Linked DNA regions of Yarrowia lipolytica. The protein of the gene in region 1 interacts with the protein of each later gene in a biochemical or structural test. Links are inferred from orthologs where the notes say so. Each region holds a gene or a part of one and is shown on either strand. Other genes may lie near its edges.

Region 1 (10,413 bases):
GCTCCGGACGCGACACGTCGAACGACGACTGGGCCTTCCAGATGGGGTTCTCCAGCGTTCCTCCTGTGGCCTCCAGCACCAGCTGCGTCTTGTCAAACTCCAACACCAGGTACACTGGGGGAGGAGTCATTCGTCGGGCAGAAGACATTGTGTTGGAATCCTTAACCAGCTGTTTTTCAGGTGCAAACAGGCTCGCATACTTGGCATAGCTGGGAGGCAGCGACAAGCCCTTGGTTTCGACAATGTTGACTGTCAACAGGCCGGGCTTGAAGGAGTGTGACAGGTGAGGGGCCGGAGGAGCAGCAGGAGTGGCACACGAAGTGGAGGTGGCGGAAGAGGCAGTGTCTCGTGAGTCTCGTGAGTCTCGTGGGGTGTAACTGTGTGTGGACTCTCGCGACCACTCTCCGCTGGGTGCCTTGCTGCTGGTGGAGCTTGTGGGGGTCAGCTTCTCATATCCGCCAGGAGCGTTGGTGGACACGGACGGTAAGCTGAGGGTGTCTCGTTTGGTGTTAGTGGGCGACTCCTTTATGGTGGCCGTGGAGTTAGACGACGGCCTTGAGGAGAAGGCTGACAGGTGGCCTTCTTTGATTTCTGTGTTAGTAAGTCTGCTTTGTAAGGCCCCGATAAGAAATGCTGTTAACCCCTAAATTGCGCCGTGCGTGAAGTACTGCCAAGACACGCAGCCCCGGATCGTGGGCAAGAGGGATATGAGAGGGGTGTGGTTGCGTGCTCGTTGTATTATATCGCAACACTGTTGACGCAGTGTGTGCAGATTCTCGTGTGACTTGACAACTTGGGTGTCATTGGCTGTACAAATCAACTCCACAAGTTGAAACACACCACGACATCGCCGTGAGCAACGGTAACGGACGACAGCCTCGGCAAACAACTGAGACAGCAGCGACAATAGCAGCAGCACGACCAGCGTCGTTCCTGCGACCTTTCTGTCCGTTCTCATCTCTCCCACCACATTTTCTTGTCACAACCAATATCACCACGGCCATGCCCGTGTATCCCCACACCCCCTGATCCAGTCACTGTGGGGAGACAATACCGGGCCCAAAATAGCCGCCGAGAACACGTCACGTCTGCCATGACCATTCCGGCCGCGTCCGCAAACACTCACTTTTCCACGTAGACATTGTGGGTCGTGTATGGTTGTCTATCAGGTGTTGATGAGCTAGTTTAGTCCACGTTTAACTACAAGTAACGTGTTGCAGAGTCAGCTGCGGAACCATGCTGCAGCAACACCGCCGGGAATACTCTCACACGCAACACAACGTGTCAGCTGCCGCAGGGGGGCTGCATCACCCCCCAAAAAAAGACATAGCCTCCGCCATGAGTAATGCCTCACCATGATTTATGCCACCGGTATAAATAGCCCGGCTGTCGCCCATGGTTAATGGAGCTGTCCACGTGAACCCCCTGCGGGATAAACGCAGTCACGTGATGTGCCGCAGAGTCTCTTCCCAGCGCATTACGTCATTTCCGGGAAAGTGCGCTACCAGTGCTACCGAATGTCGCCCTATGGAGGGCTTGGGTGGCTACTTATCTTTCTGTCCACTACTCGTCGTGTGGCGGAGACCCATTTATATATGATAAGAGCGATAAATGGCTACTTGTAGTCAAGGAAGCTCCGATATTGGCTTGGCAGGCGGGAAATTACGTCGAATTAGCTGCGATACAGTTTTTACGATACAAGTGTACAGCTACGAGGAGCTACTGTTGAACTGCTCCCCACTGCAGATTATTATTATTAACCATGCTGTCTATCAGAGATCGGCACTGAGATGAATGTTCAGGCGCTCTTTCACGTGTATCCAGAGTATACGAGCTGAATCACTCTTCAGAAGGTGTTGAATTGTTGTTGTACAGTATGTACATACGTACTTGTATCAGTAGTAACTGTCTTGTACTCTTACCGTAATCGTACTGTATCGTATTCAGTAGTGGTGGGTTCTTGTGCAGAAGTCACTACTCGTAGTCGACTTCACCATTGTTGTGTCGCATACAAATTCACGTTCCCACTCCAGCTCAGAGGATAATGACGCATTCCGCTACTGGCTGGTGGTTGCACCGGATTGGCTCCACTCGTACCTTTGTTCTGGCACCAAACACGGCTATTTTGGGTCAACTTTGAGCGTTTCGAGAGCTGTCATTGCCATTGTCCCGTCAGTGTGGCCCACAGTAAAAGGTGTATTTTTAGGGCATGTTTTTATACATACTAATTCGGCCCACCATGTACAAGTATACATCAAAACAGAAGAGATGGGGATGACACGGTCGAATAATAAAACGCGGAAATGAATGTACAAGTACAAGTACAAGTGCAAATTTCCCAACAAGGCCAGTTCTTCTGTGTATCAACACATTATATCCTGACAACCACCCAATATACCACCGCTCCGTCTCCGTTTCCCTCCACTTGTACTTGTACCTCCAACCCAAGATTCCACTGCACCCTTGCATCTGGTCAAATTCATGTTACAGTATGTAACGTGTAAGACCACTCCTACAATAATCCTACAATAATTGGCTACTTGTAGCTGATATTATTACGGCTGTAAAATGCAAATACCCTGTGCAAATACAGTCAACTAACCGCTCGACACCTCGACTGTACCACGTGGACAACATTCAAAGTGTATCACTCAAGCCGTACAACTGTGAATATATCCCACAATGGTCTCCATGACAACCATTGTGGACATCACGTGACCGGCGACAAGGTTGCAGATCTCCGTCTTGCTGCTTGTGGGTAAGGGTTTCAGCACAAAAATGACCCTTGACTCGCGTGTCGCGTATCCCAAAACGGCTTGGAATGTGAGCCATCAGATTAGGCCATGATGAGGCTCTTTTCGGTACTGTAGAGTTGAGCTAAAGTGACGGAAAAGCAATATTTGGGCCTTGAATAATTCGCCAACAAATGTCATGAACCGTCCAATTCGTCCACGGCCCGAAAATCCACATTTTTCTCTACATATTTCCCTCAATCCACATGTATTGTTTGTTAGGATGCTCAGCCGCGCATCAACTTTGTTTGTGCATTCTTCGCGTGTGGAATGTGGTTGTGGGGGTTGATGGGGTGGTGATGAAATAGAGAAATATATATGAAAAAAAAGAGAAAAATGCCGTTCGAATTATCCGTGTTTTTTCGGATTTTTTTGCTCTCAGTTGTAAGCCACAATACCACCATTTTTCAACCCACATCATTCCAAAGAAACTCTACAATGGGCAAACTCTTGCAAACAATGCACCATGCAGGCCGAGTGTATCGTTGGTGCTACACCTTCGTGGAGATAGATTGTTGGTTTCTGACACAGTCGTTCCTCTACCACCGACACACAAGCGACAATGCACAACCCAGCAGCTGTTGCAGCAGCCTCGCGGGCATACCCCACCGACCCCATGGTGCAACAAATACAGCAACAGTATGAGGCCCAGCAGAACTACAACTACAACGCTCAGGCACAAAACACACAGAACACACAGAACACACAGACACAGACACCGGGCCAGACAACCACAGACCCCACGACAAAACGGTTGTCCCAGACATCGACGTCGTCCAACAAGAAGACAAAAACGCACATTGGTCCTTGGCGACTGGGCCGAACCCTTGGACGAGGCTCCTCGGGACGTGTCCGACTAGCACGACACTCGCACACCGGCCAGCTTGCGGCCGTGAAGATTGTACCCAAGGCAGTGGTGGCCGACGCCGTCAATGCGGCCAACGGAGAGGAGCATGGCGCCACGGGGCTACCTTACGGTATTGAGCGGGAGGTGATCATCATGAAATTGATTGAACATGCCAATGTGATGGCACTGTACGATGTGTGGGAGAACAAGGGAGAATTGTGAGTATTGAAGAAGCGTGAAAATTACCTATTGGTGTGGAGTGTATGGTGGTGAAATCACAGGGTGGGTGGTGATGTTGTGGAACAACGAGACTATTTTGACGCGTTTTGATGGTGAGGCGAGCTTTTGGTACACTGAGAGGTGTTTTAGAGACATCAAAGATGACAAGTAAGGTGTTACAGCCGAAGTATATCTCCTACAGCTCTCAGTCGTCTCTCTAATTTGACTAAACGCGTCTCCACACTGTCACATGGCTCAGATAGTCCCAGACGCAGTTCCTGGACTGGCACATGACTTTCAAGTCCGTCTTTCCCTTCAATCACTCATTGACATACCCCCCTTTAATAGTCAGATGAATGCCCCGAACGGTACATTTACAGGGCACTGGGCGTGGTTCACACAAGCACGGTACACTGAGCACATCAGGACACTAAGAGACTCAGCAATTCGAGAAAGACGCATGCTTGTGGATCTTTGATTTAACTCTGTAAGCCTCCAACTAGTTTTGGTGCTTCTATGGCATATATCAATGTTCTCTTCACTCGCTTGTTGTGTTTGTTTACCGCTTGCCATTTCGTGGTTTATTATTCGGGACATACAGCCTTATCTTTGCGGAGACCAGTGTTTGAAGCTGTATCTCATTTCCTATTTTATTTCTGAGTCTCCAACCACCACCACCACCACCACACCGCTCCCAGGCAGTGCTACACTGTACATGCTGTATACGCTGCATCCCTGTGTCCATGCAGGCCAACTATACACAGCGTGGATGTGCGCGACGTATACTCAACATGGAATTGTCGCAGCGGTCGCTTGAGGCCCGTTACCAGGACAACGGCCAACCATTATACCCATACTAACCCAGATATCTCGTTTTGGAATACATTGAGGGCGGCGAGCTGTTTGATTACCTCATCAAAAAGGGCCGCCTGGAGGAATATGAGGCCGCCTCGTACTTTTTGCAAATCATCAATGGAGTCGACTACTGCCACAGATTCAACATTTGCCACCGAGATCTCAAGCCCGAGAACCTGCTGCTAGACAAGAACCGCAACATCAAGATTGCCGACTTTGGAATGGCCGCTCTGGAGACAGACCGGATGCTGGAAACCAGTTGTGGATCGCCTCACTACGCCTCTCCCGAAATTGTCGCCGGTAAGACATATCACGGAGCCCCCTCGGATATCTGGTCGTGCGGTATCATTCTTTTCGCGCTTCTGACCGGTCATCTGCCTTTTGACGATGACAACATTCGAAGATTGCTGCTCAAGGTGCAGACCGGCAAGTTCAATATGCCGTCAGAGCTGAGTCCATACGCCAAGGATCTCATTTGGCGAATGCTACGAACAGATCCTACCACTCGAATCACCATGGACGAGATCTTCCAGCATCCCTTCGTGCGCAAGTACAGCGGAGGTGTGACACCCACTCACATCCATGCTCCTTCTTACGAGCATGTGGCCCGTCCTGTGGCTTCGGTGCAGGACATTGATATAGAGATTCTCAAGAACCTACAGATTCTGTGGCACGGCGAAGACGCCGAGATCATCATGCAGAAGCTGCTGTCTCCCGATGCTAACCCGGAGAAGACCTTTTACTGTCTGCTGATGAAGTACCGACATGATCATGCTGCCGCTGTGGCTGCCACTGCTCCTCCCACGTTGCAACAGCAACAGAGCCAGGAGATGCAGCCTGCCATGCACAAGTCCCATAGCCACTCGTCTCGCAAGCAACACAAGCGCAAGACAAGCCACAACAGCCATCGACTTGGCTCTCGGGGTTCGCTGGTGTCTGTTTCTTCGGCCCACAAGCGAGGTGTTTCTTTCACCCATGTCAAGAAGCGATCTCAGCAGAGCATCCGAAGCATGCGAGGAAGTGCCAGCAACTCCGTCGTCGCTTCTCCTAGAAAACAGACTGCCTCCGCACCTGTTTCGGCTGGTACTGCACCCATTCCTTTCAACGTCAACGTTCCTTACACAGAGGCACCTGCTACTGCACCCGCAGCTCCTACAACCGCAGCCGCTACATCCACAGCCACTAGAGCACCAGCACAGCCACTGGCACCAACACAAGCGGTTCAGTCACCACCACGACAATCACAGCCTGTCCATCAACAGCCGCCAACATCACGACGGGCTCCCATCTCGTCAGCTCCCTCGTGGCTTACACGGTCGCCTCCTGCCAGCAAGGATGCCGACTTTGAAGCCTTCCTTGACTCTGCCTTCAACAAGCCCGTCAAGACGAAGAAGAGCTACGGCAGTCTGCTTGGTTCTCCCGTTGACGCTCGACGCCATGTGACTGACCCTGCTAACACGTCCATCGCCTCTCGAACCGCAGCTGGCGCAACCGCTGCGAACACATCCAAGCGAGCAGTAACCATGGCATACAACGATGAGTTTGAGTTCGAACGGCCCATGTCATTGTTTGATCCTCGAGAGGTAGGAGGAGACACTGGCCGTGCCCAGCAGCCCAGCGTATCTCGCGCTCAAACCATTTCTCACACTCACACCCACTCGCGAGAGCGTGTGGCCAACGCTCATTCTGATACCCCCAACTACCTGCCCATGATTTTCGAGGAGGGCGACCGGTTCGCAGATGCCATCGAGGAGGAGTTCCATCTCAACATTTCCGACAACACTCTTTCTGCCCCCTCCACGAACCACACAACTCCTATGCTTGGGGGCGATCGAAAGTCGAGTGAGTGGGAGAACCTGTTTGATTTCACTGAGCGAGGGGACCAGGTTGTTGTGGGCGAGGACTCTCTGCTGGACATTTCTTTCCACCGAGACAATGCCAATGAGGCCACTCCTGTGGCTCCTGCTGCTACCCATGTTGGTCGGGAGTCCACAGAGCTTTACAAGGATCTTCAATTCCCCGAAATCCCTGTTGTGGACCGAGATGAGACTGCCGTGGAGTCTATGCCTCGAACCCAGTCCAAGATGAAGATCTCGGGCCAGATGCAGACAGACAACTTCATGAAGCGACCTTCGTCCATCAACCTCAACGGTCATCTCAGCCAGAGCAACCTATCGCGACAGACGACTTCTGCTTCCCAGCGACGTCCTCTCGTGTCTCGTGATATGAATACCCATGCTGCTTCCCCTCGAGAGGCCGCCAAGCCTGTTAGACAGTTGCAGGCAGCTGCTGAACTGCACGAACGACGACCTGTTGAGGTTCTACAGAAACAGCAACCGCAACAGCAGCAGCAGCATCATCATCAGCAGCAGCAGCAGACTCAGCATCAGTTGCAGCCCGCACCTGTCTTCCGAGAGAAGCCTGTGGTGTCTGCTCCACGACGGCCTGCACCTGCTCCCCCCGTGCAGAGTGTGGCCGACACCATGGTTCTTCCTATGCACCAGCAGCAGCAGAACAACTCGCAGTTTACCATTCCTGCTCCTGTGCAGACTCAGCCACCCCAGTCAAAGTCCAGCCGAACGAAGTCATTCATCCGACGGTTTGGATTTGCACCCAAGCGTGAGGCTCCAGTTGCTCCCACTTCTAAGGTGACCATGATCCAATCTAGCGACTATGGTGCTGCTCCTGGTGTGAATGCCAACGCCCACATGAATGCACAGAAAGATCCAGCTGCACCTGCAGCTCATGCAGCAGCTCATGCAGCTCACACGTCCGGTACTGCTCCTGCTACTGGCGACCCTTGGAACGTCACTCAATCGTGGTTCATGAAGATGTTCTCGCGACCCAACGTCGCCCCCCGGCAACCTCCTCAAACCCTCTACTCCACTCTCACCAGCCAGCAGCTGGAAGACGAGATTGTGGCTCTGCTTGCATCGTGGCGCAAGTATGGTATTTCCAATCTGTCTGTGTCACACTCTTCCATTAAGTGTCAGATCAGCTCGCGAAATGCTCTGAAAATCAAATCGGCAAAATTGCATATCGACATTGGTCCCCTCAAACACACCAATAGTTTTGCTCACTTTTTCCACGATCGAGGCTCGCAGGGCTCGTTTACTCAGCTCTATGACCAGATCAAGGCGCACCTTGTTTCTCAAGGTCTGCTCATTAATAACTAAACGTAACTAATATAGCTAATTAATTTTATTTAATGAATGATAATATAATAATATAATGATGACGTGTATGTGTACGGTACATTGTACTTGTAGGAGTAGCAGTACTGACCTCTTCTTGACTGGCATAGCACAAATCTGCTCCTTGTTGATAGAACGGCACATGAGAAAGAAGCATACAGTGTGTACTACAAATTGTATTTGTCATTAAGTACGATATATATAAGAAATGACGGCATATTCAGGAATGATTCTATAAAACAAATATGCTCTGTGATGCTGGTTTGTTCATGCCGCCTTCCGTGTTGGATACAATCAAACTACCATGCACGGTAATGTCTTGAAAGACTGCCCCATGTCCGTAATAGCCAATACTGTAGCATGATTCGAGTGTAACAGCAGGGGAAGAGTTAACACAAGGACTTTGAAGGCTCACTTCTGAGATATCCAGTCCACGAGCATGGAAGGACTGTTCTGCGTAGACCCTCGGTAGCCGACATATACTGTAAGCATCTGCGCCTTGTTGTGCTTGCCAGTCCATGGCCTGTCTCAAAGCTTGGTCGAAAAGTCACTGATGCTGGCACTCAGGTCACTCCGCTAATTTTGTGTCGGTGTCCTTCTTTCATTACTCCTCCTCAACACCGTACTGCACAGTGATCCACAAACTGCAGGTTCCACATTGCACGACAATCTCGTGAAACTGGACATCGACACCCTCGTAGTACTTTTCGTTATTCTCCAAATGTTCTTCGGTCAAAACGTAGCCTCCTGCCTCTCCACATCGACATGGCTTGTACCATGAAAACATGCCATCTGCGTCTTCCCTCTCCTCCAATTCTGTCAAATCAAACACGTCACTACCAGGGCCGCTTTTAACGCCATTTGCGCCATTCTTCAGACTCAAATCATACTCCTTTTTTAGCTTGGAGTTGCTCAAACATGCGTAGGCTGTCGTGATGGCTGTGATCTGAACAGATCCAGTATATGCCTCTCTCTCCTGGAGCTTGTCGGGGTGGTTTTTCAGCAATGCCTGTTTGTATGCAGTTTTGAGATCCGCTGAAGTCAGCTCAGGCACGTGAGGAGGCTCAGATAGTCCCAATATAGTGTAGTGGTTCATGGTGAATAATTTGATGTGTGGAGAAAAAAAAATTTGAGTTCAGAGGAGTCAACGAAGTGCAGCTGTGGTGTATGTCTACTAACCTCCATGCAAAAGTGAGCATCTGAGCATCCAAGTATTGGTCAATTCCTTACTTATACTTACTACTGTACTCCTACTGTACAATACATATCATTTGATTAACTGTCCATTCGAAATGACCCATCGCACTATGAGTGCTTGTAGTGCAGTAGAAGCAGTTGTTGTGTCTACGATGCTAACTACCAAGTAACATACACTAAACGTCTGCTAGTTCATACGACATAAATAAAACAGTTCATTAGTAACAATATATCCTTCAATCCATCTACTCATCCTCAAGAGAGCAAATTTCCTCATCCTCGTCCTTTCGGAACAGGAAGGGTCTAATGACAGACTCGTAATAAGGAGGTCGAGGGTCTTGGGGAGGGTTCTGAGTGTTGACCACCTTGAAGTAGTTCTTGTAGACATCTCCGTCAGCTCGTCCAATGGCAGAGTTGAGGAAAAAATCAGGCACGTTGAAGGCATCGGTGTAGCCAATGACGTCCTTTCGCACCTCCAAGAGCTGCTTTCGGATCTCGGCACTGATGTACTTGAGCTCCTGGGGAGTGATGTAGCCCTCTCGGAGGAAGATTCCAGCCTCCTCTTCGACGGACCAGAAGGCGTACAGGTTGGCAAGTCTGGTAAGAGGCTCCTTGGTGAACTCGGTGCCCTCCTCGGCAATTCGCTCGTAGAAGTTCTTGACCATGTACAGACGGGTGTGGATTCGAGTACACAGGAATCGTTGCTGGGACAGCTCCTCGTAGGCCTGGGCAGTAGACAGACCCTTCTTGGCCAGCACCTCAAACTCATCGGTGGTTCGGTTGATCAGAGCTCGGGAAACAGTCTCCCAGGCCCCAATCATGACCTTGGGGTCGTACAAGTTTCGACCAGCGAGCTTGGGGGAACCAGCGGGAGCAGCCAGGTAGGCGGTAGGACCTCCAATGGGCTTGCCAGCCCGGACAGCTCGGTTAGACTGGACCAGAGCTCTGCCAGCTGACAGACACAGAATGTTATTGTCTCCCTCCCAGGTGCACTGGATCACCCAATCGGAGTAAGCACGTCCAAAACCGTTGTAAGCAGAGTATCCGTGGCCTCCACACGCCTGTCTGCACTGGTCAATGGTGTGTGCGCAAGCCCAAGTTGTGGTAGCCTTGACACCAGCAGAAACAGAGAAGAGCTCCTTAGCCTCGGCAATGGCCTTGGGCACGGCCTCTTGGTCAGAAACATCGAGGTTTAGGAGCATGTCGGTGACCTTGACGAACTGATCTCTGACCTTATCGGCGGTGCACTTGATGGCATATGTCTGGGCCATGAGGGGGAGCAGACGTCGCTGGTGGTAAGGGTAGTCGA
Region 2 (8,000 bases), about 1.4 Mb from region 1:
TGGGCAGCGCAATCCGTTGACGACGATACGACTGGCAAAGTAGCGACGATACCTGCCAGACAGGTGACATGTGCAGGCCGCACTAACAAGGAAACGGGCGCTGGGGGGGCGGGCTTCTAGACTTTGCCCTTGAACAGGAATCTAGTGGGGGCTTGTCTTTCCGCCAATGGGGGAGCGCCTGTTGAGCGACCGTGCATGCTGGAACGCCAAGTGTATGTACAGCTGGTGGTCTCGCAGCGGTATGTGACGGGACTTACATCTCTCGTTTTTTCATGACCACGTTTTCACAGGCTCGGAGGTACGTTAAAGTTTTGAAGGCTGCATCTGAACCGAGGTATGGGGGAGTTTGAAGAGCAACAGTGTTGGGGCTGAGGGGGCCAAGATCGGGGCAAGCAAAGGTCTTAGATCAATTGTGGGGATCCCAAAGGGCCCGTTACCGCCTTCTTCCACCCAATTCGGGTCCCAATTGATCCACTACTGGCTTGCCCAAGTTACCCCAGAAATGCCGCCCCGGATTTCTCCAAAAACCTAATAAGCTTCATGGAACTTGGTGGAAGTGACTTTCTACAGAGTGGAGAGAACCGTGGACACGTGGCAATGGCGCTGACCGTGTCCCCGAGCCGAATCGACGTGAGGGGAGAACGGAGTATCTGCGGTCATGTGACCTTCCAGAGCGGCGTCGCCAGTGTGCACGCGGTGACCCCCAGTTTGGGTCTCTGTCACACGCATACTACCTCGGCTCTCCACATGCTGAACTTTATCTTTCGTGGGGATCATACCGAAAGTTGCAACTACCAGGTGTATATAAAGCCTGGTAGACTCCCCCCACTTTGGACCTCATCCAACCAAGACACACAAAAATGGACCGACTTAACAACCTCGCCACCCAGCTCGAGCAGAACCCCGCCAAGGGCCTCGACGCTATCACCTCCAAGAACCCCGATGACGTTGTCATCACCGCCGCCTACCGAACTGCCCACACCAAGGGAGGCAAGGGTCTGTTCAAGGACACCTCTTCTTCCGAGCTGCTCGCCTCTCTGCTGGAGGGCCTCGTCAAGGAGTCCAAGATCGACCCCAAGCTCATCGGTGATGTCGTCTGCGGAAACGTTCTCGCTGCCGGTGCCGGTGCCACTGAGCACCGAGCTGCCTGCCTTGTTGCCGGCATCCCCGAGACCGTTCCCTTCGTCGCTCTCAACCGACAGTGCTCCTCTGGTCTGATGGCCGTCAACGACGTTGCCAACAAGATCCGAGCCGGCCAGATTGACATTGGTATCGGCTGTGGTGTCGAGTCCATGTCCAACCAGTACGGTCCCAACTCCGTCACCCCCTTCTCCAACAAGTTCCAGAACAACGAGGAGGCTAAGAAGTGCCTGATCCCCATGGGTATCACTTCCGAGAACGTTGCCGCCAAGTACAACGTGTCCCGAAAGGCCCAGGACGCCTTTGCTGCCAAGTCCTACGAGAAGGCCGCCGCTGCCCAGGCCGCCGGCAAGTTCGACCAGGAGATCCTCCCCATCAAGACCACTGTTCTCGATGATGATGACAACGAGAAGGAGGTTACCGTCAACAAGGACGACGGTATCCGACCTGGTGTCACCGCCGAGAAGCTCGGCAAGCTCAAGCCTGCTTTCTCCGCCGAGGGAACCACCCACGCTGGTAACGCCTCTCAGATCTCCGACGGTGCCGGAGCCGTTCTCCTCATGCGACGATCTGTTGCCGAGAAGCTTGGCCAGCCCATCCTTGCCAAGTTTGTCCACTGCAAGACCGTCGGTGTTCCCCCCGAGCTCATGGGAATTGGCCCCGCTTACGCCATTCCTGCTGTCCTTGAGGACCTTGGTCTGACCGTCAACGACGTTGACGTTTTCGAGATCAACGAGGCTTTCGCTTCCCAGGCTCTGTTCTCCATCCAGCATTGTGGAATCGACGAGTCCAAGGTCAACCCCCGAGGTGGTGCCATTGCTATTGGCCACCCTCTGGGAGCCACCGGTGCTCGACAGTTTGCCACTCTGCTCTCCGAGCTTAAGGAGTCTGGCAAGAAGGTCGGTGTCACCTCCATGTGCATTGGTACCGGTATGGGTGCCGCTTCTCTGGTTGTTGCCGAGTAAATGTACATACAAGATTATTTATAGAAATGAATCGCGATCGAACAAAGAGTACGAGTGTACGAGTAGGGGATGATGATAAAAGTGGAAGAAGTTCCGCATCTTTGGATTTATCAACGTGTAGGACGATACTTCCTGTAAAAATGCAATGTCTTTACCATAGGTTCTGCTGTAGATACTTGTACAGTTGCAGACCAGTTGGAGTATAGAATGGTACACTTACCAAAAAGTGTTGATGGTTGTAACTACGATACGGGATCCCCGCTGATATGCCTAAGGAACAATCAAAGAGGAAGATATTAATTCAGAATGCTAGTATACAGTTAGGGATGGTGAGTGTTGGGTGATGCAGGGGAGGTTGTCGAGCGGTTCACTTGAGTGCGTCCCGCTGTTTCATCAAGTGCATTTCAAGAATCCCGTTGGCCATGTGCATTTTGACCTTTTGCGGGTCGATTTTGACCGTTGGCGGAAACCGCACCGTTCTCTGGAAGGAGCCGTTGTGTCGTTCTCCCACCATGAGACAGTCGGACAGATGTGCAAAGGGGTTGGTGTAGTGGCCACTGATGGTCAGGCTGTTGGAGTCTGCGTCGTAGGCGGTTTCCAGGTCCGCCGACCGCACCGCCGGCAGACTTGTCACCACAATGTACATGTTTCCCAGGTCGTAGATGTCGACTGGTGGCGCGAATGGGTCAGTATGGGAGTGTGGGAGAGGAGTAGCTGGTGGCGAGTGGGCCAGGTCTGTTTCGGCATAGTCGGGCATTACAAAGGACATGGGGAGGGCGACGGGAGGCTTTTTGAGGAGTTGAAGAAGAGCTGGGGAAGAAATCAAGTGTCAAGCTTGAAAAAATCGGCTTTTCCATCTCAATTAGTTGCCTACATCGAGCCCATCAGAGTTCATGCACATGCAATGACCTCACAAGACACTGGCATAATTATGGCAGGGCTAATTTTAGCACTCCTCTGACAAAGCCGATGGGCGATGATAAACGCTGTCCACCATCTCGTGATCTTGCGGTTCCACTCCAGGGTATGACCAATCACGGCTGTGTTGCCGTTTCAGTGGGTGGCGACAGGGTGGCAAAGTGACGGTGGCAGTGCTTCACGTGACCTGGTCATACAGAACCGATCGGCCTTTCCCGATGGGCGGATAAATTGTTCCGACGCTATGCCGTATCCGAGATTCGTCGACATTTGCTATGTTATTTTCTGCTCAATTTTGAGATCGACTTTTGGGTCTATTTCGTCGAGAAGATTCCAGAAGGTGGAGGGGCAGTGCAGATGCAGATGCAGTCTGCCATCTAGGGTGATTAGGAGTAGTATCCATGGTGGTGGTATCAGTATCAGGGCTTTAGATGTTGTTTCGCTGCCTATTTAATATCATTTTTGTCATTCGCCAGAGTTGATTGCAAGTTTTTTGAGTAATTTCGAGTAATTGTAAGTAAAATCCAAATAAAAATCCAAGTAAATTGCAAGTAATTTCGAGTAATTTTCGGGTAATTTTCTGGTGATTTTCGAGTAATTGTAAGTAAAATCCAAATATAAATCCAAAGTCATCAAGTAATAACGAGTAACAATAACAAACAAGGAAAATCCATAAAAATCCAAATAAAAATCCAAAGTCATCAAGTAATAACGAGTCACAACAAACAAGGAAAATCAAAGAAAAATCAAAGAAAAATCCACAAATAACCCCCAAAATACAACTACCTGTAACCCCCCAAATATCATTATTATTATCATTATAACCCCATCTGTTTACACAAATTGCACTAGTGCGGCAACCAAAATAAACTCCACCACCGCCTCACTAATATCAACTCTATATGATGACTAATCAACCCGGCCAAAGCCCAGATCCACTCTTTTTTCAGCCCCATCTTCGAAAACACGGTCCAAGCCACAACGGCCGTCTTGTATTCCCCCACAAACACGAACTTCACGCGTGCAAATCTCCATCCGGTGCCGATCATGCGGGGTCGTCTCCCGGGCAACCCTCTGGATGCACCTCACCACCTGTACAGGCTGCACTAAGATTTGAGTCCAAAATTCAGGGGCTTTTGAAAAGACAGTGTCCTATACTGCTTTTACACGCGCGATCTACGATGGAACGAAAAGCTAGCGCCGCCAGCAGTGTTTTTTCGACCGCCAGCAGAGGAGGAGGGGGGATGTCGTCGCCGGACGTGGCCCAGAGCGGCGGGTCTGGAGCCAGTGGAGCTGACACCACTCCTGATTCGGAGGCGCCTGATCAGCCCGAACCATGCTTCATTGGAATCAACATGCCCAGTGCCGACGGCCACTCGTCGCAGCTCATTGTCGACTGTGCGCTGGAGCAGGGCTACGACATGATCACCGCCACCATCACCAACACCCATTACCGAACCAAGGTGGAGCAGAGCATCACTGCCGGACAGCTGACTGTGCCTCCCCCGTCTCTGGACGATGTGACCATCATGCCGGGAGGCTCGCATGTACACTCGACGGTGGTTCTGGCCAGCGCATGGATCGAGCTGGACGCCAAAAACGAAGCCACCGCCGCAATGTCTCTCCAGGTGCTCAAGCATGAGCTGGCCTACGCCTCCTACTGTGGAGTGGCCTTTGCCATCATTCCGGGCCCCAAGAGCCGCAAAAACGTGGCCACCTACGCCCATGCCGTCGCAGCCGCCCTCAGACACTCTCCCTGCATCCAGGTGGCCATTCATCTGCCATTTGCCGAGGCTGACGCAACCCAGAGTAGCCCCCATCTAGGCGGACATGCTCGAAAACCGTCGCAGATGTCAGATCCACTATCCATATGGGAAGTCTGGCACTCAGTGCGCACCATGGCCGGCTATCCGTCATCCTTATCGGTGGCTCTACAGCTCCCCAGAGCTCTACCTCCGCTACACGTGATAGATAGATGGATGGCAGAACCCATCTCTTTCGTCTGCGTGTCAGCAGGCTCCTTTATTCCCAACCCCAAGGGCTACCCAGTGTTCAGTAAGTCGCTACAACAACTTTTGCTACGATGTCTCAAGCTCAAACCTCTGACTTTGCTCCAGGAAGACGCGATGGCAGCTGAAAAGTTCCGAGGAGGGGAACAGGCCTTTCTCATATACCTGAGATATATTTACGCGCGTCGACCGAGTCCGTCGGCACTCGAAAAGTTCTCAGACGGATACCACGACTTTCTGCAGGCGCCTCTGCAACCTCTCGCAGACAATCTCGAAAATGGCACATACGAGGCGTTTGAACAGGACCCAGTCAAATACACGCTGTACGAGGAGGCGATAGGGAAGGCCCTAGTACATCTTGTGCGAGAAAAGAAGAGCGCAACAGGCACTTTTATGGTTTGTGTGGCTGGTGCCGGAAGAGGTCCCCTGGTCGACCGTACTATTGCTGCTGCCACGACTACAAAGACGCAGGTGAAGATTGTAGCAGTGGAGAAGAACCCTGCAGCCTATGTTCAGCTCATGCAACGCAACAACGACGTCTGGAACGCCCAGGGTCACCGTGTGGAAGTGATCATGTCCGACATGCGCACCTACGAAAGCCGGTCCGAGCAATTCTTTGACCTCATCATTTCGGAGCTTCTTGGCTCGTTTGGAGACAATGAACTCTCTCCCGAGTCCCTCGATCCCATCCAGAGACTCTTGCATCCCACCAGAGGCATAATGATCCCTCAGTCATACACTGCATTTGCTGCTCCAGCATTGTCTCCGAAACTGTACAACTCTGTGCTCTCTGGTGGTCCCACACCCGCCCAGGGCCCTCAACAGGGATCTGGAGGCACTACGAGTTCGCCCAATAACTCTTTCAATACCCCCTACGTGGTTATGCTCAAGCAGGTGGATATTTTGGCACAAGCCAAACCTCTGTGGTCGTTTGCACACCCCGGAAACCCTGCTGCGTTCAGCAAAGAAAATATCCACAATACGCGTTTCTCGAAGACATCGTTCGAGATCCCAGCCAAGGCATGTGTGCATGGAATTGCTGGCTACTTTGAGGCTGTTCTCTTCCAGGACGTGTCCCTGTCTACTGTTCCGCATACCAGACACAAGTCTCCAGACATGTTGTCGTGGTTCCCCATTTGGTTTCCGTTGAAGACTCCGATGAACGTGCCCGATCATTCTGAAGCTGACCTTTGCTTCTGGCGAAAGACCGACGGAAAGGTCGTGTGGTACGAGTGGGCGGCAGAGACGTTCTTCAAGCCGCTCCAGAGCGGCCCTCGAATGCGACTGTCATGCTCTGAGATACATAATGTGGGGAGGGAGAGTGTCATGAGACTGTAGACAGATGCTGACCGCGTAGCTGGAGGTGTCTGTCTTTCGGGTACACTTGTAGTCTCGCCCGATAGTATGTGCGTATCTTCAACGTGCTGAGAAAGCGACATAACAGAATGCATTGATGAATCATGAAGGATGAGTGATCCGAAGTCAGCGATGACTCGGATTTAGATGACGTGACATACACAACTGACACTAAGTAGAGGCGAATACGACAGTGACTGGAGCAGGTTGTCTCTGTCTACTGTGGCAAGTTCCGAGATCCTCACTGGCTACGATGGTACCTCGAACAGGTCACCTGTCGCCGAAAAACTATGGGACACGTCGCCGAAACTATGGACACTTGTCGCCGAAAACTATGGACACTGGTCGCCGAAACTACGGCCATTTTCTCTTTCTCTCTATATATTTAGTTGTCGTATCTTTAGAGTGAATGGATTGAAAACTACAGTGCGGATGAAGAGGCAACCGGCCGCGACCCGAAGGCTCTTGTAGGAATTTCTGTGACTCTAGATGACCCTGCGACCGTCCATATCGCCACAAGAGCTTTTTGAACAGAGCCTGTTAATGACCATACTTCCATAGTCCAGATACTGACTGGTATGGGTCTGCCGGCAGACATTGTCGCATCCGAAGAGCCGAGAAGTGATGTTCGCCAGCAGGAAATGTCTTGTTTGGGAATAATGCTTTCAGGAGTATCCGCTCGAAGTTCCGACTCGACAACTGTGTAGCTGGCGACTCGGCACGTATTTCTCCACATGGTTCATCTTGCTCCTCCGGCTCTGGGGACTCTTGGTCTTCAGGTTGTCGGGCTTGTCTGAGTCGGCTGATACCCTGGCTCCCTCTATAGTCCAATGGTGCTGGCTGTCAGTGTCGCAACGGTTCTTAGTTTCGTACTTGTCTTACAAGTAGTAGTTTCTGCGATGGAATCGCTCTTTGCAGTCCTACAAAAGTATGTAAGAGTACTCTGGCCAAAAACGAGTACTGACAGCTGCTCATCAATGGATTGGTATCATTTGACTGTCCTTGACAAGAAGATTCACAGTATCAACGCACGATTCACGGTATCCAAGACAATTCCAACAGATCAGTCATGTTATGCACAAGTACCACTAGTAGACATCTACCTTTGAGTCTTGGCCAATAAACTGAAGAAAGCAGTTATTCAACTCGTCATACCATTGCCGTAACACCTCAACGATCAGAGCCAGCTATCCCTCTTGACCATGCGGTAGGTCTGAACGGAGAAGACGTTGAGAAGTCCTTTGCTGCTCGTCCATGGGGATGAATGGTGCTGGCCATCGTCAGAGTTCAAGATAAAAAGGCGAGGACACACCCTGTCGGTATCTGATGGTAAGTTGGGACGTCAGATCCATATCTTTTTGCCGAAAGGTGCAACTGCGACTGGCCCGACACGTTGGCGGACATCTCTTTTGTTGCAACTAGCGGTGTATGTAGAAACGGAATTACTAAAAGTTGGAGTCATACCAGGGTGAGTTGAAAAGGCTCCAACTTTTGGAAATCCCGTTTCTTCAAAATTGACCTATACCTGAAGGTATCTCCAGTTGGTTAGATGCGTCGGTCGCATACTTGGATATACGCCGATGTGCTTCACAGCCCACACTCCCTGCGATGG

The links. The genes of interacting proteins can lie anywhere in the genome.
Region 2: of the proteins of YALI1_E07818g (region 1) and YALI1_E22207g, one has a biochemical effect on the other in vitro, tested with the Saccharomyces cerevisiae proteins (2 studies listed by BioGRID, with this or other methods). The link is inferred for Yarrowia lipolytica from reciprocal best matches to the Saccharomyces cerevisiae genes HSL1 and HSL7.

Annotation. Positions count from the first base shown.
Region 1 is NC_090774.1:778,466-788,878, forward strand, and holds YALI1_E07818g (uncharacterized protein), read left to right. Parts: upstream 1-3,354; coding exon 3,355-3,857; intron 3,858-4,723; coding exon 4,724-7,889; downstream 7,890-10,413. Other genes in the region: YALI1_E07790g (uncharacterized protein), read right to left, coding at 1-591, 1,127-1,142; YALI1_E07874g (uncharacterized protein), read right to left, coding at 8,512-9,003; YALI1_E07899g (uncharacterized protein), read right to left, coding at 9,350-10,413.
Region 2 is NC_090774.1:2,216,697-2,224,696, reverse strand, and holds YALI1_E22207g (uncharacterized protein), read left to right. Parts: upstream 1-3,925; coding exon 3,926-6,370; downstream 6,371-8,000. Other genes in the region: YALI1_E22245g (uncharacterized protein), read right to left, coding at 1-82, 136-197; YALI1_E22238g (uncharacterized protein), read left to right, coding at 861-2,105; YALI1_E22218g (uncharacterized protein), read right to left, coding at 2,473-2,874.